4 linked regions of the Elephas maximus indicus genome follow. The protein of the gene in region 2 purifies or fractionates together with the protein of the main gene of each other region. This does not show direct contact. Links are inferred from orthologs where the notes say so. Each region holds a gene or a part of one and is shown on either strand. Other genes may lie near its edges. The genes, in order: ANAPC1, ANAPC15, CDC27 and anaphase-promoting complex subunit 2.

Evidence for each region.
Region 1: the proteins of ANAPC15 (region 2) and ANAPC1 purify together in Homo sapiens (affinity purification with mass spectrometry; 3 studies listed by BioGRID and IntAct, with this or other methods). This does not show direct contact. The link is inferred for Elephas maximus indicus from reciprocal best matches to the Homo sapiens genes ANAPC15 and ANAPC1.
Region 3: the proteins of ANAPC15 (region 2) and CDC27 purify together in Homo sapiens (affinity purification with mass spectrometry; 3 studies listed by BioGRID and IntAct, with this or other methods). This does not show direct contact. The link is inferred for Elephas maximus indicus from reciprocal best matches to the Homo sapiens genes ANAPC15 and CDC27.
Region 4: the proteins of ANAPC15 (region 2) and anaphase-promoting complex subunit 2 purify together in Homo sapiens (affinity purification with mass spectrometry; 4 studies listed by BioGRID and IntAct, with this or other methods). This does not show direct contact. The link is inferred for Elephas maximus indicus from reciprocal best matches to the Homo sapiens genes ANAPC15 and ANAPC2.

What each region holds. Positions count from the first base shown.
Region 1 is NC_064835.1:40,984,927-40,992,250, forward strand, and holds the start of ANAPC1 (anaphase-promoting complex subunit 1), read right to left. Parts: upstream 3,035-7,324; 5' UTR 2,782-3,034; intron 801-2,781; 5' UTR 777-800; coding exon 564-776; intron 1-563. UniProt on the Homo sapiens protein: Component of the anaphase promoting complex/cyclosome (APC/C), a cell cycle-regulated E3 ubiquitin ligase that controls progression through mitosis and the G1 phase of the cell cycle.
Region 2 is NC_064825.1:52,739,436-52,747,561, reverse strand, and holds ANAPC15 (anaphase-promoting complex subunit 15), read right to left. Parts: upstream 3,100-8,126; 5' UTR 3,070-3,099; coding exon 3,011-3,069; intron 1,906-3,010; coding exon 1,776-1,905; intron 1,209-1,775; coding exon 1,149-1,208; intron 814-1,148; coding exon 676-813; intron 512-675; coding exon 452-511; 3' UTR 161-451; downstream 1-160. UniProt on the Homo sapiens protein: Component of the anaphase promoting complex/cyclosome (APC/C), a cell cycle-regulated E3 ubiquitin ligase that controls progression through mitosis and the G1 phase of the cell cycle.
Region 3 is NC_064837.1:53,066,872-53,074,841, forward strand, and holds the start of CDC27 (cell division cycle protein 27 homolog), read right to left. Parts: upstream 3,211-7,970; 5' UTR 2,965-3,210; coding exon 2,938-2,964; intron 1-2,937. UniProt on the Homo sapiens protein: Component of the anaphase promoting complex/cyclosome (APC/C), a cell cycle-regulated E3 ubiquitin ligase that controls progression through mitosis and the G1 phase of the cell cycle.
Region 4 is NC_064827.1:1,039,101-1,046,481, forward strand, and holds the start of anaphase-promoting complex subunit 2, read left to right. Parts: upstream 1-4,303; 5' UTR 4,304-4,436; coding exon 4,437-4,553; intron 4,554-4,854; coding exon 4,855-5,477; intron 5,478-6,436; coding exon 6,437-6,569; intron 6,570-7,381. Other genes in the region: TPRN (taperin), read left to right, coding at 40-271, 354-460, 557-619; microtubule nucleation factor SSNA1, read right to left, coding at 2,954-3,061, 3,503-3,702, 4,164-4,215. UniProt on the Homo sapiens protein: Together with the RING-H2 protein ANAPC11, constitutes the catalytic component of the anaphase promoting complex/cyclosome (APC/C), a cell cycle-regulated E3 ubiquitin ligase that controls progression through mitosis and the G1 phase of the cell cycle.

The sequences.
Region 1 (7,324 bases), on a different chromosome or scaffold from region 2:
ACATACATACATCTTGCCTTGTCTAACTGGAAGAGAGTGAGTTTTATATTCAGACTTCCCCTCCCTGAGATTTTGGTATTCCCCAATGGGACATATGAAAATGGAGTAAGGTGACAGGGGTTATGATTTTCTGACACACTTATTTTACATTTCCCTACTTAAGAACTACTGCTCTACCTACTGACATGATATTTCTTCTCTCCTCTAAAAACATGTAGGTCTTTTTCATCAGGGGCTATTTCTAAACCTCTCCCAACTCATCCCCAAATAACATGAGATCCAGTCAGTACAAACTAAGTAAAAAGAGATTTTAAATGGTGCACAATCACAGTAAAGAGCTTGATTCTCATCATAAAATCACAGTGAGTTACATATGACAAAATAAGTAGCCATGACACTGATACAATAAAGTCATTATCTTAGCCTTGATGGAAATGGCCAAGTTTTAACCACCACCCTAGAAGTAACATTATACTCATTTCTCAGTTGCAATTTAAGGGGAGCCTTAAATTACAATTATATTACATCACTCTACAAAAATATGATGGGAAAATTAATGGAACCTTCTGTTTCTCGTGGATTGTGACCTCCTGAAGGGATCCCACCAAGCCAGCAGCACCATCAGAGGACCATAGCTCAGAGGCTGGCTGCAGCTGGCGAAGCTGAAGGTTCAAAGCATTGGGATGGTGCTTGCAGTGGTCTCGACCAAAAGGGACAAATTCCTGCAAATCCCTGGCTGCAATCATCGTTGCCCTTTCTTCATAGACGTTCGACATGGGTTCCAAATATCAACATTATTTCTGTAGGAATTCAAACACATTCTGGTGAGCTTCTAGAGTCAAAATCAGACTAAAAATACCATAAGAGTTTACAGTCATCAATCTTTTGATGAGTATCAAATAATTCCATTTTGTTGTCGGTATATAAGTAATCCTGACATCAAAGGGCATTCCAGATCTGACTCTCACAGGTAGATGTCACGTTAGTCACACACTAGCTGAAAAATAAACCTACCACTGTAGGAAACCATTGAGTCAAGACAAGCACTCATGTCCCACAGCTACCCCATAACGTTTCTATACTTCACACAGAAGGTATGAAAACACATTGTACTTTATGGTCCCACGACTGCATGGCTTCTCAACATTCAAGGTCATTTCTGCTCAGATACTGGAGTCTAATTCAAAAAGCACACCTAAAGGCTTGATGGCATTTGGAATGAGATAAAACATATTACTCTAATTCATCAGAGGTTGAACTACTGCTTTCAGTTAACCAATCCACAAAAGATCTAATAAGCTATCAAAATGTCATCAGTAGTTTTGACACCCCAATTCCACCTAAATCTATAACTACACCCCACTTACTGGTCCAAACCCAGGGAACCAAGGCATACGTAACTCTACCCATGAAACAGAAGGCTTATATCTGACTTAACAGCAGATTTAAGAGTCCTAGCTTTTAATTAGCAAAATTTATTGCAGTTTATTAGATTTACTGGCAGATTTGAATGAGCTGTGGGTCAAGACGTGCCCCTCTACCTCCCAAATATTTCTACATAAGTAACTGACAACTGGTAAAATTCTGACACTGCATAACATGGCATACGAGGTGGATTTCGGTTCTGTCTGCAACAGGACTGCCTTAAAAATGGATCTCATGGCATCATATTTAGGCTGCAATCCTCAAACACAAACGTCAAGGCAAACATCCAATGTCAGCACCGTAGACAACTTTTAGAAAGCACATTTTAAAACAGTGCTCACAAGTAAGAGGATTTCATTAGATTTGGCTGAGACTTCTCATCTCAGGTCTTTTTGGCATCAGTTGTTTGTTTTCTGTGCTGCACAAACACCTCAAAGCCTGTGCAGTTCCTTTAGAGTGGTTAAGTTACTCCACTGTGAATTAAAAGGTAGTCCTGAGATTACTGTACAGTGCAAAACACAACCCAAGTTCGTTTCTTCTCTACTGCTAGAAATCAGTACTGAGAACAAAGTCACTTCAACTTTGGACATAACTAAAATAACGCTTTATAAAACTTACAATAACAAAATTCAGCTGGTCTTCCTATACCCTGTTCCAAAGGATAACCGATATAAAAGAACTTGTGACTTTATCCAAGTTCGTGTAATTTTGTAACGTTATTCTCTTTTCACTGCAGGGAAAACTCTAGAATTACTTTCCCAGTACATTACTTTCGTTCTGAGATTATGAACACAAATTTAATACTTTCACAGTACCCCGAACTTTTATAAATGTGTTTTTACTTGACTTAGTGGCAACACAAAAAGCTATACAGAAACGTACTATGTTAAATTAATATGACAAAAATCAAAATTTTTCCTACATGAGATTAAAAGATCATCCTGAAAAGGGAGCAGAGGGCTGGCCTAACAATGAGTTTGTGACCAATTTCTCCCCCTAAAAGTCTAACAGAACCTAACGTAAGACTGAACGGTGTGCACACAACGATCCCTGGCTTGAGTCTCAGCAAAAAGACAAAGCTTCTCGGCCCCTCTGGCAGGCGACTAAGGCAGCGGGCTAAGAACCCAGGCCTCAGAGAATCCGCTCAGAGGGATTGGGCTTCATCGAGAGACTGGTTAGCGAGGAGGAGACCGGGAAGGCGCACCCAAAAAGTACAGCCCTCAAGGCCGTCGGAGCCCACCACCCGCCTCCCAGCCCTCTGGTCAGCAGGCACCGGCCGGCATCGGGGCGGGGATGAGGGTCCCGGGGCGCGCGGCGGGAGGTGGACCGCTGGGCTCCGCAGCCCCGCACCCGCACCTGTGTGACTCGGGACGCGTCAGGCGCGGCGAGCCTCGGCTGCTCCCCGGAGGCGCGGGGGCCGGAGGGGCCTGAGGACAGCGGCGGGGTCGGTCACGGTGACTCCTCAGCCTTCGTTGATTCTCATCCCTCTCTCTCCCCTACTCCGGAGGCAAAAGGGGCTGCAGTACCAGGCGCGACAGCTAACAGCAGGCTGACGTGCCGGCGAGCAGCTCCGGAAGCTGTTTAAATTGACACGACCATCTTGACTTTCCCGTCTTCCCTCGCGCCGGGGCGGTTCGGGCACCGCGGGAGGCGCGCGGCGCCCGGCGGCCTTGGCGCCTGCGCAGTTGCCTGAAGAACACGAAGACCTTACCTCCAACCGCCTTAAGAGGCAGCACTGAGTCCCGAAGCGGGAGCGACTCCAAGAATCTACGTGTGATGGCACCCTCCTGACGCAGATCTTCTCTAGATCATGTCACTACGAGCTTGAACTGCCACCTGACTCTGAGTTATGAGATTTTCTGGCTGCTTTTGCTTCTGCCTCCTTGGCCCCAAATGGAGGTACGTGCCTCCAGGCTCTGGGGCCCTGCTCATCTTCGTTCTACGTGAGTGAATCTGCACCACAAGGCATCCAGACTCCTTGAAAAGTTGGTGAAAGGTATGAAGGCTCTAACAAAAAACGTGCAATTTCAGAGGTTCACAGGTGATTCAGAGACCCAGGTTAAGAACTCCAGCCTTACCCCCCCTCCCTGTCTGGGTTCAACTGTACAATATCACATTTATGGAAACCAGAAACTTTCTTGAGCTCTAATCCCAATTAGGAGCCAGGGTGGCACGAGCGGTTTGCAATGCGTTGCTAACCTAAGGTTGGTGGTTGGAACCATGGAAGCGCCATGAAAGAAAGGCCTGAGGATCTCCTTCTGTAAAGATTACAGACAAGAAAACCCTGTGGAGGAGTTCTACTCTGTAATGCATAGAGTTCCCATGAGTCAGTCTGACTTTACAGCAGCTAACAACAACAATCCCGTATTGCCAAGTTAAAACTATTGACAGGCCTCTTAGTGCTTAGGAATAAACTTCAAATGCTTACCCAGAAATGTAAAGTTGGCTAAAACTTTATGACTTCGCTAAAAGCATCTACTGGGATTCCCCAAACACACCTTGCACTTCATGGCCTTACTCTCTGTATTCATTGCCATGCCTTACTTAGCATGTCACCCTTCAGGGTTCAGCTCAAGTGTCTCTTCTCAGGAGGCTTCACACCAACAGGAAGGAGCCTTTCGTTTCTCAGAACTTTGGGCACAACTGCCTTTCACCAGTCATTTACCTGAAATCAAAATACCACCAGACTTTCCTGGCTCGACGATAAAATGAGGTCAAGTTAACAATCATATCCCAAATGCCCTCTCTTATCCTTTATGTATTTCCCCCCACAGGGTCCCTACCTTCCTTCTCCACCAGGTCTTTCTGGTAGAACCTGCACCAGGACACACCTCAGATGCATCTCAGAGTCTCTTATTGCCACCATCCTCCAGATCCTCAGCCTCTTGTCCACCTCAGCTGCCACCATGGCCTGCCCCAAAGGCCACCCATGGTTGCACTAGTCCTGTCAGCCCCACTACCAGGCACTCGCCACAGAGGACAAAGCCCTCTCCGTTGGCTGCTGCTGTGAAGCCAGGACAATGCGTGGCACTCCCTAAAACTCAACTATGGCTTCTCCTGCCTCCCCCACAGGGAATGGCAGCTGCCTTATGAAAGGGCCAGAAGACATAACCTAAAGTATAGGGAGTAATTTGTGATCAAGGCAAATGTCCATCAATAGGAACAAGCAGGAAGGAGCCAGATGTATAAAATCCCTTTTCTTCCTCCCTCCTGTGAACTACTCTAAGGCCTGGTTTTTCTGCATACCTGTCAGGACATGTCCTGTGCGGCAGAGTGGCGCACCTGCCAGGCAGTCTGCTGAGGCTTTGGCGTCCCATGAAGCAGAATCCAGTGCATTACTTCTCAAGCTCCCCTGCCTCATTTTCCCATTTCATTCATTCTCTTCGGTCTAGAGATTGAACCACCCACATGAAGCATCAGCACTAATCATTCTTGCCTCTGGCTCCCTTTTCTAAGGAATTCAGGCAGTACAGTCCACAAAGAGTGTTTTTATACTGCTAATTATCCAGCTGTGAAGTAGAGTCACTGAAAGGATTTACCCAGCTTTTTCCCTTGCCTGTTCAAGTTATCTTGCCTGCTCAAGAAATTTTCTTAAGGGGCCTCCCTGAGGCCTTACCTGATGATGTCCACTGTGAGGACACCAGGGTCTACACCGATAGCTCCCCTCCAGTACTCCCAGAGACCACCAGTCAGTCCTTTGGGGCTAGAACATTGCTGTGTTCCCTGCAGAACAGCAGAACTGGCCCCACTGCTCCTTGCAACACTCATGGTCAGACATCGGTCTAACAGCGTTGTCACTAACAGCATTACTTGGACTCATGATCTGACAGTTTCTTAAGTAAGCAAATCCTTCTGCTTCTGCCACTAACCCCTCTGCTCATGGGGCTCGAACCATAAATCCAGGAGTTTCCTAGGCCAGACAGCCAACTCACTGCACTTTAACTGTGGCTTCCAAATAAACTACCTTAAAAATCCATTGCCATCAAGTTGATTCCAATTCATAATGACCCTAATGCACAGAGTGGAACTGCCTCATAGGGTTTCTAAGGCTACAGCCTTTACAGAAGCAGATTGCCACATATTTCTTCAGTGGAGCAGCTGGTGAGTTCAAACAGCTGACCTTTTGGTTGGCAGCTGAGTTCTTTAACCACTGCACTACCAGGCCTCCTCAAATTACCTTAAGAGTTCCTGAAATTACATTTTGGATACAAAGGACCCAAAAGTCAGGGTACAAAGGAAAGGGAAAATAATAGAGTTCACTGCCAGTTCATTTATATGGTAAGTGGGTTAACAACCATATTTTATGAATATATTCAATTTTCTAGTATATGATTCACAAAACTTGAAGTCAACTGAAGCATACTGTCTTAGTCATCTAGTGCTGCTGTAACAGAAATATCACAAGTGGATGGCTTTAACAAAGAGAAGTTTATTCTCTCACAGTCCAGTAGGCCAGAAGTCTGAATTCAGGATGCCAACTCCAGGGGAAAGCTTTCTCTCTCTGTCGGCCCTGGAGGAAAGTCCTTGTGATGCATCAGTCTTCCCTTGGACTGGGAGCATCTCAGCACAGGAATGTCAGATCCAAAGGAAGCGGTCAGCTCCCGGGACTGCTGTCTTGGTGGCTTGAGGTCCCCAACTCTCTGCTTGCTTCCCTTTCTTTTTATCTCTTGAGAGATTAAAGGTGGTGCAGGCCACACCCCAGGGAAACTCCCTTGACTTTGGATCAGGGAGGTGACCTGAGTAAGGGTGGTGTTACAATCCCACCCTAATCCTCTCAACATAAAATTACAGTCCCAAAATGGAGGACAACCACACAATACTGGGAATCATGGCCTAACCAAATCGATACACACATTTTTGGGGGGACATAACTCAATCCATGACACATACTAAAAAACAGTTGTCACAGGTATACCCAGTATTATAAAATAGATCTCTTCTGTTGGTGTAAACACCCCCGATAATTAGCAAAACTCCACATATATAATTGCTATGCAAAAAAAACAATAAAATCCCTATTTCTAAATTTTAATCAATTTTTTGCAAAATATAAGACTGTATTATTATCATTTGCTGCATAATAATAGTAGCAGAAACTTTATGGCTTAAAACAACACACATTTTTTATGTCACCATTTCTGTGGGTCAGGAGTCCAAGCATGGCCTAGCTCAGTCCTCTGCTTAAAGTCTCAACAGATTGCACGCAATGAGTTGGCTGGGGTTTTGTGTCCTTTGAGGCTTACTCAGAATTCAGTTCCTTGTGGTTGTAAGACTGAGGGCCTCAAATTTTTGCTGTCAGCCAGAGGCCACCTCAGCTCCTAGAGGCCACTCACAGTTCCTTGCCATGTGGAGCTCCCCAACATGGCCGTTTATTTCTGAGGGTCTGCTAGCAAGATGTAAGTCACGGTCTTATATAATCTAATCACAGGAGTGACATTCCATCCCCTTGGAGGGTTAGAAGCAAGTTACACTTGAGGGAAGGAGATTACACAAGGAAGCAGGTACCATTGGGTACCATCTCAGAAGCTGCCTAGTATAGTCTCTAATATCTATCTGATAAGTAAGTTTAAGGCCTTAAACTACCCTTTTTAGCCAAGGGAGTGAAACGTGGGATGTGTGGAGCCCCTTTATACAAGGGCTTTTCCTCGCCTCTGAGCCCTCGCAGCTGTCTCCACTCAGACCTTCTGAAACAGATAAGGTTAACTGTGCTGGTGGAACAAACTAGCTTTTAAAAGATTACCATCCAAAATTTGGGTAAACAGGAACCCACCCTGTCAACATGAGATAAGATTGAGGCAGTAGTGAAGTACTATCTAGTCCCCTTCTCCTTTGCAGGCTCCACACGCACAGAGGAGCAGAGTGTGACTGCTCTTTGACCTTCCTTAGCTCTCCAAAGATG
Region 2 (8,126 bases):
GCTGACCAGAGGAAATGGCATAGGCGCCTTCCTCAGCCCCAACCCACCTGGCCAATTAGGTCTTGCCTGAAGTCCCTTCAACGCCCTCTCCCCAAAGCCCAAGAGAAGACATTAGGCTCCTCTGGGCCTCACGAAGTGATAGAGAATAGAAAAAGGGGGAAAAAAAAAATCAATCAGTCCTGTGTCTTTATTAAAGAGAGTTAGAAATAGACCAGACCTGGCAGCCAAGGGGAGAGGTACTGGCCAGGAAAGTGGGGTGGGCTCAGGCCCTGGGGATTCGAGGGCAGGCTGATGGCCTGGGAGAGGCCAAGGAGATCAGGTCCTACCAGCAGCTGCAGAGGTGTCCGAAATTAAGGTTTCAGGCACTGGAACTGTCAGCTGGTTCTGCAAGGGGTGCAGTGTGGGGTGGGCTGGCCTGGGATCTCCTTGTGGACATTCCTTTCCTGTCTACCTAGATCATCCACTGGTCCTGATCCTGCTCGTTGCCTTCCATGTCCACCTGAGGAGGAGGCTGGTGTGGGTGGGAAGGGGCCTCAGCCACCCAGCCAGCCCAGGTCCAAGGGCCTCATCCACTCTGCCCCCAGTTGGATCCAGGATTTCTGCATCCCTTGGTCACCAATTAGGTCATAGGAAGGGGCTAAGGAACAGAGGCCCTCCCTCTACACCCCTACTTACCTCATTGACCTCTCCATCATCAGGTGACTCGTTGTAGTCATTCATCTCATCCATGTCCTGCATGTCCTCGTCATCCTCTGAGTCCTCCTCACTATCTTCGTCATCTTCATCGTCCTCCTCCTCCTCATCATCATAGTGCTGGTGGGGCAGAGGAGAGCCTGTGGGCATTATAGGCCTGCCCAGACCAGTTCAAGGGTGGCCCACTTACAGCCTCTCTCTGGGGCCAGTGACTGATCCCCCAACTCCCTAACGCTGTCCACATCAGGTCTAGCAGGCTGGTACATGTTCTGCAGGACCTTAGTGTGGGAGACAAGAGACCAGCCCTCCACTGGCCCTAGTGCCCACCCCCTCTAACTCCTCTTTCTGGTCCTCACCCAGATTGCTCTGGGACCAGAGGCAGGACCTTGGAAATTAGGGGAGAGCCTTGGCCCACCCTGGGCCCCACACCATCCCTACCTGCTGGAGCCACTTACCTCTGAGGCCGGCTTCCCAATAGGCACGAGGTTGTTATCTTTTTCTGCAATGCTCTGGAGCTATGGCCAAAGGGAGAGGGGAGCATGGCCAGGGCCCTATCAGGGCAGATCAGGAGCATGGGACTGGCCCATTTTGCCCTCAAGAAGACCCCCAAGTGTGGCAGGGGAGATACTTCTTCCATTCTCAGGAAGATCCAATTCCCTTCTTTCCATCTGCCACTTATTTATGAACTTGATCCAACTACTTAAACTCTCTGGGCCTTGGTTTCCTCATAGGATTACAGTGAGGGTGAAGTAAGAGGATATCGGCCTAGAACATCTGCGAGGTCTTCAATAAGTAATCAAAATTATTTCCTGTGCTTTAGGAAAACGAGCCTGGACTAAGTGTTAGAAATGTGGGGCTCCAGTCTGGCCCAGAGGTCCCACAGTCCCCTAGCAACTCAGGGCAGGGCATAGCTGAGAACCTAGGCCCCCAGGGCTCCCAGCTCCAGATTCTTCCTAGCTCAGGACAAAAAGCTACCCCAGGGCAGGTCTCCAGAACAAAGCAACGTCATGGTCCAGTAGAAGGGAGGGTCCCTGACTGAGGTGCCCACTATTGTGTCCCTACCAGACTAAATCCTCACTCACCCAGGCCTGATGCTGCTGTTCCTGCTGTTGCAGTTCTGTCTCCTCCACACAGGGTCGATCCAGATTAAACCAGAGTGTCTCCGTCACACGAGGAAAGAGTGAGGGGAACAAAGTGGACATGGCTCCTAGACTGAGGGAAAAGATCAGGTGAATCCAACTCTCAGAAGTGGGTTTTTTTGTTTGATAGGGGGTTGGGGTATAGTTGAAGGTAGCAGGGAAGCAGCCCTTCTGTCTGGGAATCAGTTAGACCTGGATTTGAGTCCTGGCTCCACCACTTACTAGCTGTTTGACCTTGGACAAGTCACTTAACCTCTCTGAGCCTCAGTTTCCTCATCTGTAAAATGGGGATAATAATAATCATACCACCTTTCTAGTTATTCTGATAATAAAACAATGGATTTTAAAAGCTCTTTGTAAGCTGTTCAAGGAGGAAAGAGAATGGGAGACAAGTGTAGAGACAAGAATTCAAAATGCAGACTGGAATTATAAAATTAAAATAGGGGTCTCTACTTCCTCCTTCATATACTGAAAACCTTTCTGCCTCTCCATGATGGAAACCCTGGTGGTGTAGTGGTTAAGTGCTATGGCTGCTAACCAAAAGGTTGGCAGTTTGAATCCACCAGGTACTCCTTGGAAACTCTATGCGGCAGTTCTGTTCTGCCCTATAGGGTCACTTTGAGTCAGAATCGATGCAACTTTGTTTTTAAAATGATGGTCCGTACCACACCCACCTAGTGTCAGAAATTTTGGACACTAAATCACCTCTCACATGGACCACAGCCAAATGCGGGAGTACCACGTGCAAGCAGGGATTCAGTTAGACATTTCAGAAGGCGTGAGTAAATGAGCTGACACACGGATAAATAGACGGGAAATTGAATGGATGAACACGCTAAAAAAAAAAAATCAAGTAAATTCAGCTCTGACTGAGCAGTGAGGGACCCGGCCAGGAAGGTCTGAGAGAGTCTGAATTAAAACCTTTCAGCTCACAAACGGGAAAACTGAGGCCCAGAGAGAGGCTGCGATTGGCTGTAGGCCACACAGTCAGTCCGATCTCAGAACTCCCGAGGAAAAAGGACCCAGGCCAGGCACTAGGGGAGACAAGCAGGAGAGAAGGATCTATATCTAATCCTGCTTTTGCTCTGATTCATTTGACCGATCCAAGGGCAGCCGCTGCCCTTCTCGGGAACTCAGTTTCCAGTCCGCGCAACGGGTAGGAAACCATTCACCCTCACCTCCCAGAGGAACTGAGAGGCCAGAGACCACTGCTCTGAAAGCCCAACCCACCGCTCATTCTTCCAGAGAGTTGTTTGCTTATTACGATAATACGGTGGAGTTGACCAACGAGGAGAGGGCAGGGGCGGGACTCGGACAGGAGTGTGCCCTTATAGGGTTGCTAATCGCGAAAGGAGCTGGGTGTGGGAAGGGCCAATTGACTGGAAGAACTGTCGGGTGACAGGAAGTGACACCAATGAATGACGGATCTTGTACGGCAGGGTGGGGCTTAGTCTCGAGGAAGCGGCCAATGAGCTGAAGGCCCATGAGGATAAAAGCGAATGTGGAACTCTTGAGGAGACGGGTCAAGAGATACGGGTTTCTTTGGGGAAGGGAGGAAGAAACGCGCGAAGAAACAACAGCCATAGCCTGCTTCTGTACTTACCGCGCCACTAGGCGGCAGCCGGCGGCGACCCGGAAGCACTTCTTCCTGCCTGAGCGGAAGAACCCGCCAAAATTCCGGGACACACCAAACGCATGCGTCTTTGGCTTTCTTAGTTTCCCGCTCCCGCCCCACCTGACCGGATGTGACGTTGACACACCTTGGTTACGTTAGGGGAGGAAATTTGCCACGCCAGCTCCATGGGCCCCGCCTTCAATTTTAGCCAATCGACCTCTCCATCCTGGCCCCGCCCCAACGGCTCATTTAATCCCTCCACTTTGTTACCCGGGCTATGCTGTGTTTGCTTGTCAACCCCTGCTGAGAAATAGCTGCCGGGGTTGCTGCATTAGTAGCAGGAAATTTGCCTGCTTGTAGCCCAGAGAACGGCTGGGTTATTTTAAGCGTCTTCTGTCCTTGCTCAGTCTCACTTTCCCGCTTGAACACATTCATCCATTCGTTTATGCCTTGAATAAAACTATTTGTGTCCCTACGTTTTTGTTTTTTTTTTTATATTCCAGGCCGTGCTAGAAGCTGGGGATAAATTTAAAAACGTGCTCCCTGCCCCCAAGATCTCATACAGTCCAGTGGGAACCCAGACCATGCAGTCCCGCAGTGGACTCGTTAGTCTGTTTAAGTTGCGTATTCAGTCTGACATTGGAGGTGCTGTCCAGGCTTGAGTGACTTAGTCAGCCTTAGCCACACACTCAGTTGCTGGCGAACTCAGCTACCCTCCCCTCAGTGGTTAGCCCGTCATCTCTCCTAGTCTTTTGCTGACATCTCTGTCCTAGTAACCTCTGACTCAGCCTCTTTAGAGATCCTCAAACCTTCTGGCAACAGTGTTCCTAAGAACCCAACTCCTATTCACCCTCCTGCACCTTCCAGGGCCAGCAGTCATCCACAGTCCCACTCCTGCACTGACCAGATATGTGGCCTTTGGCAATTTAAGTCCTTTTTTCCTGTCTGGTCTCAGTTTCCTCTTTAACCAGCATCATAATGTCTGTCCAGCCTCCTTTCTTTCCTGGGCTCATGTTATCTGAGGACATAACAGGTGTTTAAACAGTTGTGTATTGTGCCCATCAACTGTGGTTATGCTGCCCAGCCACTCTGGTTGTTATAATGTTTTTCCTTAAAGAGTAAAATTTACCTTATCCACCCTTTTCATTAATTCATTCATTTACTCACCCATTCATTCAACAAATACCTATCAAGTACCTTACTATATGCCAGTCATTGTTCTAAGCAGTGGGTATACAGTACTGATCAAAACAAACCAAAAAAAAAAAAAAATCCCTATCCTCATGGTGCTTCCATTTGAATGAGAGAGAATAAACAATAAAGAAATAGACAAATAAAATACATAATTTTTAGGTTGTGATAAATACTGAGAAGAAAAAAATCAGAGAAGTGGGAATAACATGTAGGAAGGAGGGAGGTGTTTTATCTTAGGTAGGGGGACCAAGGAAGAAGTCACTGAGACAGTGACTTTTGAGTAAAGGTCTGAAGGAAGAGAGGGAGAGAGAGGCCTATGCGGACATCTGGAGGACAGCATTTTTGGGAAACGAGAACAGCATGTGAAAAGAGCCTCGAGTGGCTGGAGCACAGTGTCCTATGGGGAGAGTAGTAGATGAGGGCAGAGGGGCAGCAGGTGTCAGATAGGTACAGCTTTGCAGGTCATAATAAGGACTTTGACTTTTACTCTGCTTTGGGGAGCCAGTGAAGGTTTGTTTGCAGAGGATCCACACAATCTGATTTACTTTTTTTTTTAATAGTATTTTATTATGTTTCCAGTAAAGGTTTACACAGCAGTTTCAGTTCCCATTCAACAGTTTCTACCCAAGCTGTTCAGTAACATTGGTTGCATTCTTCGCAATGTGTGAACATCTTCATTATTTCCGTTCTGGCTGTTTGTTTCCATTAATCTCGTTCTGACTTATATTTGTTGAGGGTCACTCTGGCTGTTCTATGAGTAACAGACTTCAGGAGGACAAGGGCAAAAGAAACAGGGAGACCAGTTGGAAGTCTATTGTAATAACCCAGAGGTGGCAGATGGAAGTGGTTGATTCCAGAATATATTTAGAAGGTAGACAAAGCAAGAGTTGCTGGCAGATTGGATGTACAGTATCAGAGTAGAGCCAAGCATTTTGGCCTGAAGAACTTGGAAGAATGGAGTTTCAGTTTTTTGAGAAGGGAAAGACTGGGAGGTGCTGGTTTGAGGGGAACTATCTGGAGTTCAGTATTGGCTTTGAGGTGTTGAGTTTAACATGCCTGTTAGAAATGTCAAGACACTATGGATTTGCAGGTCAGGGGAGAGATCTGGGCTGGATATATCAATTTGGGAGTCATTAACATGTAAATGGTATTTAAAAGCATGAGACTAGATGAGATCACCAAAGGAGTGAGTACAGATGGAAAATAGTTTCCTCCAGTATTCAGAATTTGAGGAAACCAGAAGCAGCAGCGGCAAACAAGACTGAGGAGGAAGGTCAAAAAAGTAGGTAGAAAGCCAGGTAAATTGGGTAGTGTCCTGAAAGCCAAGAAAACAAAGGGTTTCAGGAAGGAGGTAGTGATCCGCTATAACCTAGTTATAAACAAAATTGGGTTTATGTTTGTTTCCCCAGCAGACCATGAGATCCTTGAGGGCAGGGGCTGAGTGGTCTCTATGTCCCCAGAGTCAGCCTGGCATCTTCCATTCCCTGGTTCCCTCACGTGCTTTCCCTATGTCTCCATCAGTCTCTCCTCCTATTTTTCTTCCTTACAGATTCCTACCTCAGGCACCCTTTGCCTCCTGTCCTTCCAGATGGAAATCCCCCAATGGCCTAGAGTTTCTTTCCTAGGTCCTCAGCCAGGTTCAACAAGTCAAGGTGACTGGTTAGTTGGGGGGAGGAGGAAAGGGAAAGAGAGAAGCAGAAATTGGCGGCAACCCCCTATTTTTTGGCCCAGGCAACTGAGTTGATGATCGCATTTGCTTTACATGCATTATCCCTCAGTTATCCTTGCCAAGTGTTATGACTCTCTCTCATTTCAAGGATAAGAAAACTAAGATTGAGTAATTAAGAAATCTACCTCATTCATTCATGAGTAAATTTCATTTACTCATTCATTTGTTCCAATGGTAGGTCAATTTTATTGAGTGCCAACTGAATGTCAGACATTTTGGTAGGCCCTGGGGATACATTGATAAAAAAAAAATTGGGGGGGGGGGAATAGAGAAATGAATCAGAAATAATCCCTGCCCTAGAGAAAAATAGTCTAGTGAAAACCATGACAATTATAGAAAAGGATGGTAAATGTTAAAATCTATGTATATGCTATGGTGTTATGAGATCACAGAGGATGGGGGAATGAACGGGTTCTGAATAAACTGAGTTAAGAATGTGTTCCAGAGAAGGAAACATTTAGTGGCCTTTGAGGGATGAGTAGGAGTTCACCTGATAGGGAAGTGGTAAAAGGAGATTATCTTAGTATACTAGTGCTGCTGTAACAGAAATACCATAAAAGAAGAAGCAGGAGACCAAACTCACACTCTTTTAAAAGAGAAACTACAGAGTTTTCCTGAGGACTGGAGAGATTCATGAATCAAGATACACCGTAGCTCTTAAGCAGAGAACAGGAAGTGAGCTTTTTATAGGGTGGAGTAAACAAAAGCTTATGTGCTCCCAGGCACCAGAAGTGTATATGACAAAAAAAATCTCAACGGGGTCATTAAGCCACAATCTTTCTTAACATTAGTAATTTTATTTGTTAACATCTTGAAACATCCTGAACAAAGTATTCGGCCTAGAACATGTGTGTCAAGCTTTCTGTAACAACTGTATACCTGGTCCCATCCTCTTATCTTAAAATAACAAGCTATGCCTACAGATTTACAGACAGCCACGGAAAAGCAGAAGTAGAGCAAAGGTTTTAGGGAGTGAGTCAAAATAGAGTGTAATTTAGTACTGGGCCAGCCATTGCAGTTACACCAGGTGCCTCAGGTTTTCAGGTCTGCACACATTTCCCCCTTTTGATCAAGCCACCACTAGGGGGTGTAGATCACCCACAAGGGAGTTACCCATCTTCTGCAAGGACTTTGTATCTTGCGGATGGCTGCTCTGAGGAGCTTTTAGGACCCCAGACACCAGCTCTGTTATTAGAGGTGGCCAGGCACCGTCCCATGTTCCCTTGCTATACTTTCAGGCCTCATCTTCAGGGTGAGTTGGTCTTTGGCTGGGGTTAGTGTTGCAAACAAGGCCACATTAGAGGAACAACCTGGCATTTCTAAAAGTGTGTGATCCCAGAACTAAAATTTATTCTTCTATGAAAAATTGTTGTTGTTGTTAGGTGCTGTCGAGTCAGTTCTGACACATAGTGACCCTACGCACAACAGAATGAAATGCTACCAGGTCCTGTGCCATCCTTACAATCGTTGCTAGGCTTGAGCTCATTGTTGCAGCCACTGTGTCAATCCAGCTCGTTGAGGGTCTTCCTCTTTTCTGCTGACCCTGTACTCTGCCAAGCATGATGTCCTTCTCCAGGGACTGATCCCTCCTGACAACATGTCCAAAGTATGTAAGACGCAGTCCCGGCATCCTTGAGTCTAAGGAGCATTCTGGTTGTTCTTCTTCTAAGACAGGTTTGTTTGTTCTTTTGGCAGTCCACAGTATATTCAATATTCTTCGCCAAGACCACAATTCAAAGGTGTCAACTCTTCTTTG
Region 3 (7,970 bases), on a different chromosome or scaffold from region 2:
CAATAACTCTTTTTTACCCCAAAGTTTATTCTCTCAGTTTTAAGTCCTTTGTAGTGCTGTCTTCAAGGTACTAGCCTATACCTAAATATAAGGTAATCTCTTATTTTCCCAAAGAAAATTTTAAGAACAAATGCATTTCAGCCAACTTGAATATATCAGCTTTTGGGAATGCAGATCAAAGTCAAATGCCTACTAATTTATTAGTTTCACATAAAATATATTCAGAAAATTTTTTTTTACTCCTATTGCATAAAACAATTTAACTCAAACTGTTCACATGCATCTTTGACATCAGTATCTATTATCATCAGAGCCACTTTTTTTAGTTATCTAACATGATCTTCCAGAGTATACCACCCTCAATTCTAAATTACGTGAAATATGGTACTTTGAATCCATGTTAGATGCTTTCCCTGGACATCTGACCCCAAGCTAAAAGTACTCCTACACTATCTAGTGATCTCCACATTGACACTGTACATATAGTACCCATGTACTACACTCCTTATGAAGGTGATTTCTGAGGCATGTTTAAACTTCATCCGACACTTCTAACTACGAAGTGCTCCCCCAGGAATAACTGTTAAATCTATATGGCTTTGCCTTTTTATGAAAAACCAATTTCATCGGGTGACTTTTATAAACAGCCAGCCCAGTACTGACTAAAGTCATTTAGAGTAATGTGTCTTCCCCCAAACAGTTACTATTAAAAATAAAATAACTGATAGAGCTTCTGCCTCATAATATGAGAGATTTTTATAAAAACTCAAATATAATAATTTTCTATGAGAGGTAATTTGGCAGAGGAGTGACTCCATCATATTTAGGCACATATACTATATCAGACTGACTCTTCCAAGCTAAAACTTTAAAGGAAAAAAAAAGTAGAAAATATTTGCTCATCTTTCCTCTCAATTTTTTCCTTTGCTGAGTAATACTATGAACCCTGAGGCATCCCAATAAAGGAAACAAAGTAATTTTCCAACTTACTCCCACTCCTTCCCAGATATATGCACATTATACTTTAAAAAAATATTTATAAAAACAAATCATATCCATCAGTCCTATTTTTATTCTCTTCCATAGTAATTCTTTCCCATTTTCAGCGCTATCCTTCATAATTTGATCTTTATCACCACAGCTCAAGCTGCTTGGTCCTCTCACTGCTCAAGATGCCTTCTTGAGTGGCTTCCTTTTATACTATAAATAACACCCAAAATTCTCACCTAGTCATATTCTAAAACTCATTACCACCATCCCAGAATGAACAAAGCTAGTGGGGGAAAAAGAGCTTAATTTGACTTTTAATCCTTAAAAGTATCTAAGTGCATACTGCTAAGAGTACTTTAAGAAAACAGAAAAACCTGATGGGCACTATCTTGGAATAGGCTACCTATTTCTTTTCTTTTCCATGCTTTTATACAGGTTGGTATTATTACTAAATAGTAGTTCTATGCCATTAATGAAACTGTTTTACCACTTAGAAGTTTCTGGGGTCAGAGAAAACAAATGATAAGAAGATAAAAATCACAAGCATATGAAACAGAAATTAGGCAATTTAAGTAATATGTTTAGCTATTTAAGAAGGTACAGATAGCAACTTCTAATCTCCTGTTAGGTCCAAAAAACTCTTAAAAGGGATTCTTTATTAGTAAGAGGAATTTGAATGGAAAGAAATAACTTTCGAAGCAATGGTAGAACTAACTTGTAAACAAGTAAATTTCCTACAATAGAATCCCACAATACATCAATTTGAACACTAATAGCTGCTATATGTAAAGAGCTAGAGAAGAAGGCAAACTAGGAGAAATGAGTATTTCATGCCATGAAGAAAAACTAAGGAAATATGGAAGTAGTGATGTATTAAAGTATTTACTATTAGATACCACAGGCCTATTAGGGACAATATGAAGTAACTTCTAAAAACCAGTTCACTTTGTAACTCTAAAATAAAGAAAATCCACTACTCAATGACAGCAGTTGATAGAGGTCAACTCTTCCAATCAAGTCAAAGATCATATGGTGGGTTGAAAGTCCCCCAAACCTGGTCGATCACCAAGGGACACAAGATTCAGTTTCTTCGATGGAAGGAGGAAAATGACTTGGCACTGCATTCCACACTTAAAATCCAGTAGGCTTTCTTTGATGCCAACAGAGCACTGTGTGTCAAAGCATACCTTGCTATGTTGAAGACAATGAAATGGAAAAGCCATTACTAGTCTTTCGTTTCCCAAACAGTTTATAAACGTGCACGATAAAATACTCCTGACCCTCATCACAGGTAGTGGGGGGGGTAAAAAAACCTCCCGGACTTGGTGTTTCTACCCCCCCTTCCTTTTGGATAGGTGCTTGCACCTCAGCACTGGCCTTAAGAGCTCTCTTCTTGGAATTGTCCTGTGGAAAATTCACTCAATGAGAAAAGCAACGTGGACTAGAAAGGCTGTGACCAAAACAGAAATTAGTATTAAAAATGCCGATCTTACCCTCCCCTTCCACCCTCTCATGTAAAACAAAAACAACCCCCGCAAACTTGCCCCACACCATTATGAGGATCACACAAGCTCCGATCAAAGGTGATTCTCAACTGCCCTTCAGGCAGGAGAACACCTGGGGCGAGTTTTCGGCCCCTCATCTCTCACCCCCGGCTCGGCCAGGCCCCTAGACTGACAGGAGGGGCTGGCCAGACGTCGGCTCCGAGGGGAAAGGCGGTATTGTAGCCGCACCCTGCTCAGGTTAGGGTAGAAGTATTGTAGGACCGGGGTGTCAAGGTTTAGGTTGCGGGCAAGGCCGCCGCACTGACGAAGGGACAGGCAGGAGCCGGCATCAGGGGAGGCGGGAGAAGCAGCCCGGCCTAGGCCGCACCAGGCCGCGGAGTGGCCATACGCTGCTTCCTGGCCGAGGCTGCGAGCCGAGCTTCGAAGAAGGGGTTATCATTACCTGGACGGGTTCCTGCAGCACCGTCATCCTTGAGGCTCAAGCCCACTTTCTGCTGTGCCTCAGGCCCCCCCCCGTAGCGGCTCCGGCCCGGCCAGCCCCGGCTCATTTAAACTCACCAGCGACCGTTACCGGGGGATGGGGGAGGCCGAGCAATTGCCGAGTCCCTCCGAGCGAGACACGGAAATACCCGAAGTGAAAAGCGACGAGCGGGAGCTAGACGGGAAGGCCCGAAAGGGACCGGAAATAGCCGAGGAGAAGTGGCGGCGGAGGAGACCGTTGCCGGAAACTGTCGAGGATTACCGGAGTTTACCGAGACGGACCCAGAGCAAAGGTTCGCCATCTCAGCCACGCCCCCACCCGCCCACGTCACGCCCCATTGGCCACCAGAAGGCCGGGCCACACCCAATCGGCAACCACCAGGGTGGGCGAGGCTTGACGGAACTGAAGGGGCGCGTTACTTGGTGGGGCTGTAGTTTCGATTCGCTACTCTTTCTGCATTAGTTGGCGCGCGGTAATTTTAAGCAAAGAGTAGAATCCTAAGAGTTTGGAGCTGACGTTAATTAACCAAGAAGTATTTGTGTGTTGAGTTTAGTAGTCACTCTGTCCCAGCTCAGAGGAATATCGCCAGAAATTTGGAAGGATCGCCCTCCCGAAAGAGTATGGCCTTAAGGAAATTACAGTCTACTTAAAAAAAAAAAAGGTTTTTTTCTTTTTTTAAGGGAAAAGCAGTGTAACAAAGAGCACTACATTATGTGGTGCTCATTAGAAATGATGTGAAAATTCAGAGGCGAGGGAAATTAATCGGGACTGAAGATGAAGTTTTCATGAAAGGAAATTTAAACTGGACTTGAAAGGATGGGTAGTAGTAGAAGAAAAGAAAGCGTGTGTAAGTGAAGGGAGGAAGAGCTACCAGTCTGGTAAGAGTTAAGGCATTAACTGGAAATAGTTACCTAGGTGACCAGATGATGGAGAATCTCAAAAGGTGTGATAGGAGAGGCATTCTCATCTATCGGAAAGAGCGTGGGATTGAAAATCCAGAGTTCTGGTTTTGAATTTCATCTCTGGCACTAACTGGCTTTGGGTCCTTAGGCAAGTCACAACTTTTCTGAGCTTCTATTTGCTTGGTCTGAGAAAAAAATGAAAGACTAAAAGAATTATGTACGTTAATATATGTGGCTGTGTCTAGTACACATACGCTCTCTCAAAGTTCCTTTCTGCCAAATGAAAAATGAGGGGGTCAGGGAACTACTAAAACTTTGTTTTGTTTTTCAGAAGATGAAAAATTTTTTAAGGTTAATTGTCTAAGTGCATCTGTAGGCTAGTTGTAGCACTCACGGTGCACTCCATTTTGCAGAAAATCCTCTTTCTGGTTCTCACATTTTTATGCAGATGAAATCAAGTTAGAAGTGGGGGTGCTACTTAAAATGTGGAAGTGGTTTTGTAATTGGGTAATGGATGAAGGCTGGAAGAGTTTTAAGGTGCCTAATTGTAAAAGCCTAGATTACCTTGAAGAGAGTGTTGGTAGAATTACGGATGTCAAAAGCAGTTCCGGTGAGGGCTCAACAGGAAGTGAGAGCTATTGGGGAAGTCTCTATCATCTTAGAGAAGAGACAGGGACCTTCCTCCAGAATGGGCAGGGAGAGAATGCCTTCTCCTAGAGCCAAAGCCAGCAGCCTGAATTTGGACATCTAGCCTCCCAAGCTGTGAGAAAATAAGTTTCTGTTTGTTAAAGCCACCCATTTGTGGTATTTCTGTTATAGCAGCACTAGATAACTAAGACAGGGCCCCCTTCCTTTTGGTGATGTCGGAGGGAGGTCTTTTTAAAAAACCAAAAACCACCAGCTGATAGAGCTGTATCTTTCTCTAACCATGTCTAGTTACTGTTTATGTACTTGTAGTCTTGTAAAAGACAGGTCCTAAGGTGATTTTCTGCTGCCCTGTGCCTTGTTCTTTTAGCAAGATTATGTTAAACTAAAGAAGCCCTGGCAGTGAAAATGGTTAAGTGCTCGGCTGCTGACTTAATGGTTCTGTGAGTGAAAGACCTGGTGATCTGCTCCCATAAAGATAACAGCCAAGAAAGCCCAATGGGGTAGTTCACTCCATAACATATGGGATTGCTATAAATTGGAATCAACTCGATAGCACCCAGCAACATGTTAGATTAATTAGAATGGGAATAGACTTCTACTTTGTCCAATACGGTATTGTTATTGTTCGCTGACTCGTAGCAACCCATTATGACCGAGTAGAACTGCCCCATAAGGTTTCCTAGGCTATAATCTTTCTGGGAGCAGATCACCAGGTCTTTCTCTCACAGAGCTGTTGGGTGAGTTCAAACCACCAACCTTTCAGTTAGCAGCTGAACGCTTAACCTTTGCACCACCAGGGCTCCTTTCCAATATGGTGGTCACCAGCTATTTAAAGTTTAATTAATTAAAATTAAATTAGAAACTTAGTTCTTCAGTGGCCTGAGCCACATTCTAAGGTCTTATAGACATAAATGGCTGCAATATTGGACAATACAGATGTAGAACATTACCATTGTTGCAGAAAGTTCTATCAGATAGCACTGGAAAAAAAAAATTAATGATACTAGTTAAAATTTAATGAGCATTTACCATGTTCCCAGCACTATTCCAAACTCTTTGGATTAATTCTTTTAACAACTTAACAGAGGTAGGTTCTGTTTTTAGCTGCATTTTATAGATGAAGAAAATGAAGGTAAATAATTTCCCCAAGGTCAAACAAATAGATTCAAACTCAGGCAATCTGGCTTCACCTTCCATACTTAAGGACCATGCTATGCCATGGAGAATAATTTATAAACCAAACCCCATCCAGTCAATTCTAACTCATAAGGATCCTATAGATGATGGATAATAATTAGGAGCTCATATTAGTGATCCTGGTGTTTCAGTTGCCTGTTGATCTTCTTTCCCTACACACTCACCCCAAAACTTAGTGGCTTATAACTGTAGCCATTTTATTGTTCATGATTCTGTGAATGAGGGATTCAGGCAGAGTTCTGTGGGGCAGCTCATTCTGGCTCCATGTGGTGTGTTTGACTGGGGCTGGAAGATCCAAGATGGTTTCACTTGTCTGGGATCTTGGTGCTAGCAGTTGGCTGCACCCCTCAGTTCTCTTCCAGGTGACCTTTTTCCTCACGTGGTCTGTCGTCTATCCCCAGCTTCTTGACTTGAGTGGCTGACAACCAAGAAGACAAAAACAGAAACTGCAAGACCCCTTAAGGCCTAGGTTTTAAGTCAAACCCCATCACTTTTTGTTGGTCAGAATAAGACGGAGGGCCAGCCCGTATTCATTAGGAAGAGGAACAGACTCCACCTTTTGATTCAAGGATTGACAAAGTGTTGCTGCCAAAGGCTTGTGAGATGGGAGGGATTGCTGGGCTATCTTTGGAAACAATCTACCACACCAGATCTGAGATGACATCTCCTGATAGTGGGCATGGAAAGAAAGGGATGGATAAGAGATGTTACTTTTTAAAATTTGACCGTTTTAACTAAACACAAGGTATCTTTGGGTGGCACAAACAATTAAGCACTCAACTACTAGCTGAAAGGTTGGCAGCTCAAATGCACCCAGAGGCACCTCAGAAGACAGGCCAGGAGATCTGCTTCTGAAAGGTCACAGCCTTGAACATTCTATGGAGCAGTTCTACTCTGGATATATGGGGTCACCATGAGTTGGAATTGACTCGACAACAATAACAACGATTAAATACTCCAGATTTGTTCTGATCAGTTCAGAATGCAGAATGTTATGGATAGAATCATGTCCCCCCAAAATGTGTGTCAACTCGGCTAGTCCATGATTCCCAGTATTGTCATCTGATGTTATTTTGCTATGTGTTGTAAATCCTACCTCCATGGTATTAATGAAGCAGGATTAGTGCTAGCCATGTTAATGAAGCAGGACTCAATCTACAAGATTAAGTTGTGTCTTTAGTCAATCTCTTTTGAGATATAAAAGATAGAAGTGAGTAGAGAGACATGGGAACCTCCTATCACCAACAATCAAGATCCAGGAGAAAGGCGCGTCCTTTGGACCCAGGGTGCCAATACTTGAAAAGCTCCTTGATGGGGAAATATTGATGACAAAGACTTTCCCCCAGAGCCTATAGAGAGAGAAAGCCTCCCTCTGAAGCTGACATCCTGAATTGGGACTTCTAGCTTCCTAGACCATGAGAGAATAAATTTCTCTTGGTTAAAGCCATCCACTTATGGTTTTTCTGTTACAGCAGCACTAGATAGCTAAGATACAGTATGACTATTACTTTTATTATCTGGACACTTCTATTATGGAGACTAAAATTACATTTGCATTTTTTAGCAGCCACATCACATGTTTGCTAATGTTAACCTTGTGGTCACTTTACAAATCCAGCTCTTTTCCACACAACATACTGCCAACCCAGGTCTTATATTTGTGCAATGGATTTTTTGCAAACCTAAATGTAGAACCTTATTACACAGGATACATAAAGATGATTCTTTATGTGTAAAAATGTGTATCTAGAATGAACATTTAAAGAGTCTGTTGTCCTTGACACTCTAGCTATTAAACTTGGAATTTGCCTAAAGCCTTTTTATTCCTAAAATAAAAACAAAACAAATGAAAAATCATTTCTTTCCTGACTGTTTGTTGCTCACCCAGCTAATACATCTGTTGTGGTTTTCTAATCAGCCATAGCAAGGCCACATTGTTTGATGTTGTGCTTTGATGGGATCTTTTAGAGCATTTTTGCTTCCTTCTCTGTTCTTTTTTTTTTTTTTTTTAAATTTTTCCCGCTTCTTTGTTCTGGATTGTTCTGTTAAAACTCACTACTCAGGAACATTTGGATATCTGGCTATCATCCATTACCAACATTATGTTAGCTGGTGAGTGAAGTTGAGTTGCAATAAGCATTATTCCCCAAATGGTAAACTATCTCTTCTCCTAAGCCTGCTTCTGGATTTATTTCATGTTCAGTCAGATTTAGGAAACCAGGCATTTAGGGAACTATTCAAGAAGGT
Region 4 (7,381 bases), on a different chromosome or scaffold from region 2:
CCCGCCTGGGTCTTGCTGATGGGTGTCTCCTGCCTCCAGATGAAGATCTCCTTCAACGACAAGAGCCTGCAGACCACATTCGAGTACCCCTCTGAGAGCTCCCTGGTGCAGGAGGAGGAGGCGGCCGAGGAGCCAGAGGAGGAGGGGGAGGACGAGGGGTCCGGCTCAGAGGGGGCAGCCGAGGAGAAGCCCTTTGTGCTCTTCCTGCCCCGGGCCACCTTCGTGAACAGCGTGGGGCCCGAGAGCCCTCGGCTGCCAGGTGGTAGCCCAGGTGAGTGCCCACCTGTGAGGGTGGCAGTGGGGGAGGGCAGTGCTGGGATCCCAGGTCCTCATACTGCGCCTATGACCCACAGACCTGTCCAGCTACACTCCAAAGCACTCGGTGGCCTTCAGCAAGTGGCAGGAGCAGACAGCAGAGCTGGTTCCGTGCGAGGTGGAGCCCCTTCCTAAGGAGATCATGGTGAGTGGGGGCTGGAGGGTACCAAGGGGCAGGGCCAGAGAGGGTCTTGAACGCCTGGACAAGCCAGCAGCCTCAGCCATCCCCTCTTTCTCCCAGCTCACTCCTGCCGGCCAGAATGACCTCTCGGACTTCCGCAGTGAGCCGGCCCTCTATTTCTGATCCTTCAGGATGATGGGTAGAACCCTGGTGCAGGTGGTGGGGCCAGCAGTTCCCAGGAGCCCGCCTTCACTCTGTCCCCACCCCTTACCAGGCTCCCTTGCCACAATGTACCACCTTCTGCCCTGCAAGGGCAGCCAGGTGCTCAGGGCCTGCACTGGGGCTCCTGGGTTCTTCCCATGGGTCTGTCTGGGTCTCACTTCCTTTGGATGGGCTCCAAAGTAGAGAGCGGTGTGGGGCCCAGGGGTCCGGCTGGATGGCGCCCCTGTCTGTCCTGGTGGGGGCCTGAGCGGACTCTGGCCCAGGTTACCCTCTGTCCTGCCAAGCCCTGGCTCCTCATCCTGCCCAGTTGCACTGTGAAGGGGCTCTCCCCTGCAGGGGCTCCCTGGCCCACCCCTAGCCCAGCCAGCACTGACCCCCAAGGCTGAGCCTGGCCCTGCTTCTTGAGTGGTAAACGGGAAGTCTTTCCTGAGGAACGGACTAAATAAACAGCACTGGACACTGCCGCCTCGGTCTCTGGGTGGTCCCTCCTGTTGGGCATTCAGGGTTCAGGGGTTGGGGTTCCACGGAGCACATCTGCTGGGGGCCCACTGGGGGGTGGGGGAGGGGAGGGACCTTGTAGATGGGCACCTGTGGCCAAGTAGGAGGTACCTGTTGGCCTCTCACAATCTCCACAGCCCCAGCTCTCCCCCACCATTCTCTCACCCAGCTGCCCTGTGTCGCCTCTCGGTCAGTGTCGGGAGCGCCTGGTGCAGCACCCCCACCTAGAGCTGGCAACTTTAGGAGGCAGGATGCTGGGCCTTCCATCTGAGATTGGGAATTCTTTGTGTGCCAGGACCTGAGTTGGTTCCCTGAAGAGTTAGGGGCAAGGAGCCCGAGAGGGGTTGAAGAGCAAGGGCTGAGTATGGGCCCACGGGTGGTCTGGGGCAGGGCAGAGCCCTGGAGATCTTGGCTTTGTTTGGCTTGGAAAAGTCCTAACCCAGCAGAGCCCACACAGTGGCAGGCAGGCAGGCAGATGTGGGTGCCTGGGGTGGGCGCTAGTGCTGGCAGGAAAAACCGAAGTATGTCAAGAGGTGGGAAAGCCGAGGTGGGGGCCCCCACACTGGAGCAGCTCCTGGCTGGGCTGGGGGCCCAGATATCCTCGCTGCCACGTGCAGGCTGAGCCGGGCTGTTTACAAATCCACAGGCAGGACCGACCAAGCATTGAGTCTGAATACCTGTTTCCTTCCTGGGGAGTTAGGGAGTCAAACTTATGAATGAGCAAGTGGGACCAGGTTTGGGACAAAGGGCAGCATGTTGGTGTGTTCTCTCTCCTCTCAACAACATGTGTCTCCCCAAGGCACCCAGCCACAGGCCTGGGTTGCTGCAGTGCTAGGACCCCAGGGTGGAGGATATGCCAGCGAAGGTAGGGTTGGAGAGGTCTGGGGATGAAGGATGGGGCCCAGCAGCGCAGGGAAGAAGAGAAGTGGACAGAAAGGGTGTGAAGCTATAAGGCCTGTGTTCAGAGGAACCAGCGTCCAGAAGGGGGCTGGCGTGCACACTCAGCCATTTCCAACTGTCCTTGGGCCCGGCTATGGTGTGGCAGAGAGCACGACCAGCAGATGAAGGCCCTCAGAGAAGGATGGGCTGTGTCCTGGATTTGGGGGAAAGTAAGTGGGGGTCGGGTGAGACAGGGATAGAGCAAGTGGCCGTAGGTGAAGCAAAGGTCTGGGGCTGACATCTGCAGGTAGGCGGAGGAGGGTCATGGGAGATGCCCAGTGGCACCCTCTGCATCTGAGACTGGGGCTCTCAGTCACAGGGAAAACCACTCCAAGTCCCCTTTCCCTGCCCCGCCCCATGGAGGAGCCACCATACCCAGCCAGAACCTTTGTGGGCTAGCTCTGGGGGTGGCAAGCAGCCCCATGTACTCGACACAGGCACAAGCCAGCACGATTCTTTACAAAGAAAGCCTTTATTCACACAGTCACGGGGCACTAGGAACAAGCTCTGAGGTCTCAGTTCTGAGGCAGAAGAGGGCCCAACCACTACCTCACTTGCCTGGGCCCCTGCTGGCCAAGGAGGGACAAGGGAGGCAGAAGTCCTGGGGGTTGAGACTAGAACCAGCAGCACAGGGAGGCGTGGAGGTTTTGGAGTGCCCTCCCCAATTGCTGCCTGCTGGGAGCACCACGGAGCCAGATCCCTGCCTGGTAGGCTACTTTTCTCATCCAGAGCTAACAAAGGCTGCAGCTGCCTTGATACCAAAGACAGGAAAAGAAGGTGGCTGCTGCCATACAGAACAAAGACGCTTTATTAACAGGTTTCCTGGGGGCCAAGTAGCCTGGCCCACCCATGGCCTCGTCAACTGTCCTTGCCCCCACTGGCCTTCTGCTCCGAAGCCGTGGCCTTGGTCAGGTTCCCAGCTTCTCTCTTCAGGACACTAAGCAGAGTCTGGGAGCTCTCCAGGATCTGAGACCAAAGAAAACACAGGCTGGTCATTGATGCTCCCGCCTGGGGGGTACCCGGGGACAGGCAGGGCCTGCAGGGGCCTCTTCCCTCCCCAGGTCTGGCCAGTGCTTTGTTCTCTGCCGGCCCCCCGTCCATCACACACCGAGCAGAGTGAACCTCAGGAACAACCGTGGTAGGAGAACATGGGCTGGGACACACCATGTTCCACAGACAGCATTCTCCTTTCCTCAGTGGGCCCAGCCGAGATGTGGGGAAGATGCAGACTGCTCGCTGGGACCCCTTGCTCCCACAACTGAATGCCCCTGTGCTGAGCCAGGGTCCGGGGAGGGGAAGGGAAGCCTCTACTCAGGAAAGCCCCCAGTCCTGAACCCCCTAGGCACTCAACGCTTGCCCACACAAGGGATCGGCCTGGCCTGTGGCCCCAGCTGCCTCGAGTCCCACCTTGAGGTAGGCAGCTTCCGTCTCCGCGATGGTCCGGTCAAACTCGTTTCGAGAGGCGATCTTTCGAGCCAGGTTCTCATTGACCCGGGCCAGCTTCTCCGTCAGCTGCCTCACCTCGTTCTGCAGCCGCTGCTTCTCGTCCTCTTCCTGCTGGATCTGGCGGCACAGCTCCTCGCGCTTCTGGGACAACTCCTCGATGCCTGGGGCGGCAGGAAGGAGAGCAAGGTCCTGGCTAGGCCGCCTTCCCTCCAAGGAGGGCCAGAGTCCTGCCTCTCGGGGGCCTCTGGATACAATAAGGCGGTGGACGTGGGCGACAGCGCTGTGCCTGGGAGGTAGTGCTCACTACAAACACGCGGCACTCAGTGCGCACTCGGTGCGCACCAGGCGCTCTCCCACGCGCCTTCCACGCACAGTGACCGAGCTGGGCGGGTCCTAATGTACCGCTAGGCCCACCCTGGGGCCAGGAGGCCACGCACGGACTCGGCGCGACACTTGCCCACGGCCACGCAACTGCTTGGCGGCCGCGCGCCTACTGCCTGGGGCCCCGCCGCTGGGCCGCCGCCTCCAGCGCCCCGCTGCGCCCGGGCGGCTGTGCCAACGCTGGCCCAGGCCCCTCCGCGGGCTACGACCGCCCGGGCTACACGGCGCGGGACGTGCTCACACTTGACCAGCTCGTTGTTGTAGTTCTGCAGCGCCGCTCCCTGCTGAGTCATCGTCCCGGACACTCGCCCCTCCGCCGCCGCCGCGGGGATCCCGGTCACTCCAACCGCCGCCGCCGAGCACTCGCCTGCGCCTGCGCAGTGCGCACCGAGAGCGCGCCGACCTGCAACGTCATCGCCGCGCGCCTCTTTTGCGTCATCGCCCTGCGCCGCGCCCGGCCCGTGCGTCAAGGAGCCGCGCTGATCCGGGCGGACCCGGGAGCCGGTGGGCCCAGATGGCTGCAGAGGCGGCGGGGGCGAAGGGGGACTGCGACCCCGCGCCCGGACAGGAGCTGTTGGTGGCCTGGAACACCGTGAGCACCGGGCTGGTGCCGCCGGCTGCGCTGGGGCTGGTGAGGCCCGGAAGAGAACGGCGGGCTCGCGCGCGGTCCCCGCGAAGCTTTAGGGCCTCCGCCTCTGTCCATCGCCCGTCTCTGCCCTCCCGCCCTCCTCCACAGTCCCGCATCTTTCGGCTCCCTTGCCAGCCCTTCCCAGCGTCGGCGCCACATCGGCGCGCTGCGGCCGAGGAGCGGCGGGGCTCGCGCAGCCTCCCCTCCGCTGCACTGCCCGCCTTTCCCGCCTGCCGCTCCCCTCCCCCGCCACGTCCACTCGCAGCTCTGCGTTCCCCTCTCCTCACGGTTGTCTGCACTGTAGGCGTCCTCTCGGACCAGCGGTGCGGTCCAGCCAAAGGAGGAGGAGCTCCGGGCGGCTGTGGAGGTTCTGCGGGGCCACGGCCTGCACTCAGTCCTGGAGGAGTGGTTCGTGGAGGTGCTGCAGAACGACCTGCAGGCTAACATCTCCCCCGAGTTCTGGAATGCCATCTCCCAGCGCGAGAACTCCGCGGACGAGCCCCAGTGCCTTCTGCTGCTCCTTGACGCTTTTGGCCTGTTGGAGAATCGCCTGGATCCCTACCTGCGTAGCTTAGAGCTCCTGGAGAAATGGTCTCGCCTGGGATTGCTGATGGGCACTGGCGCACAGGGGCTGCGGGAGAAGGTCCACACCATGTTGCGGGGTGTTCTGTTTTTTTCCACTCCCAGAACTTTCCAGGAGATGATCCAACGTCTCTACGGGCGCTTCTTGAGAGTCTATATGCAGAGTAAGAGGAAGGGGGAAGGAGGCACCGACCCAGAACTGGAGGGGGAGTTGGATAGCCGATATGCTCGCCGCCGTTACTACCGGCTCCTGCAGAGCCCACTCTGTGCTGGGTGTGGCAGTGACAAGCAGCAGTGTTGGTGTCGCCAGGCCCTGGAGCAGTTCCACCAGCTCAGCCAGGTCCTGTGAGTACTATGCGTGTGGCCACGCCCCTGGGCCTCCTGATTTCCCAATTGTTCCTCTGGGTCTGGCTGCAGAGAGCTGGTCAGCTGGCCAGGGGCATCCCAGAGGGAGGGGGCCCTGGCACCCTTGGATGGTGAGTTTTGAGCCTTTGGTCTTGGACCAGTTGTATCTCTTTAGTTTTTGTGCACAGCCCAGGAGTTGACACTTTGCCCACACTGAGACCCTATGTGACTTGTGCGTGCAGCAGATTTCTGTCCCCATTCCAAACTTACTGGCTCCCCAGAATTCTGCTGTACTGCCTGTAGGCTAACGGGAGTGTACGTAGCCTGTGATTGTGGTTGCTGTGCCAGTGGGTAACAAACAGGGGGCTCACCATTTCTTCTGTGCTGAGCGTGTCAGGCAGGCAGATTTGTGTCCCCATTCTCTGGGAAGGAGTTCTTGTTGGCTGCAGCCAGGCTCTGCTGTCTGCTCCCTCCAGCGCGGTTATGATTTCTGTCATGTTGAGCAAAGTGGTTGCGATGCCGTTGTTTGGAAGGGGTCTCTTAGTTAGATTTGGATCAAGGGAGTGGTCCCGCTGCTGCCAAGGGCCCTAGAGGCCCTGAAGGGCTTCTGCTAGGCTCATCCCAGTTGAAGGTTGTATGGAACGCTCTTTCTTGTTTCCTCGTGAGTAGCTTTATTTTTCTAGACCAGCGTTCGTGCTGAAAGGTGCAGACGGTGGTATCTATGTTTACGTGGCCCGGGTAGCAGTGATTCAGTTGCTGTTTCCGAGCCAGGCCAGGGAGATGGGGCTTGGGCCTCTGGTAGCTCCCCTGCCGCCACTTCCTACGGGAATGGCCATCACCCCAGTCTGGGCAGTCCAGCTGGGCAGGCCAAATGGCACCTCGCCAGTGCTCTGTTCTCCCAGCAGCTTTTCCACAGAGCCCTGGCACAGCTGACACTGCACACACTCGTCTGTTCTCAGACACAGACTCAGTTTGCTGGAACGGGTCAGTGCCGAGGCTGTGACCACCACGCTGCACCAGGTGACCCGGGAGAGGATGGAGGACCGCTGCCGGGGCGAGTACGAACGCTCCTTCCTACGGGAGTTCCACAAGGTATCGCCGCCTTTGCTCCGTCCCCTTTGGAAGTGTGCCAAAGTGCAGAGACGGAGTGGGCTGGGACCTCGAAGGTAGTTGAGGCCATTCCGGGGGCTGCACTGATCATGTTGCATCCACGACGTGCTGGGTGAAGTCTTAGCGGAATCACACGGTTCGAGGCAGTGCCAGGGCCAAGCAGCGGTGTGGCCAGGCCCACCTGAGAGGGACAGACTGATCTCCTTTTAGCTGCGCCCCCCGGGGACTGACCCCTTGCAGCCAGCCTGCATCCCAGCATGGCCTGCGCACCCCCATGGGGCAGAGGAGGAGGGGCAGGAAGAGAAGAGCAGCCAGGGCAATGGGGGAGACTGGGGAGACAGCCTGGCAAGGTGGGGTCGTATCCCAGGGTGGGCCTCATGGTACTGTGCCATCCACAGACAGGCTTGGGGCTCTCCCAGAGCTGGCGGAGAGCTGGGACCAACCGTCGTGGCTCCCTGCTTTTCACCTGTTCTCACTCCGCCATTTCTGAGGGTCGCTCTCCAAAAATGACGGTTAGCATGGTTGAAGGAGGTACAATAGGGGTCCTCCAAGCAGTGGGCAAGAGTGGTCATGAGCCCTGGCAGCCCAGCTGGGACGAAGTGCAGATTCCCAGATACTGGAGTGAGCCGGGGACTCAAGGCGCAGCAGCCCAGGGCAGCTTGGGCTGTCTCTGTGGTGTTAACCCCACCCACGTCTGGGACGCCTCTCAGCAGGATCACACGTACACACACACACAGGAGTGACTTTGTCCCGCACTGCTTTGTTTGTGAAGGGCAGGGCACTGGTAACATCTG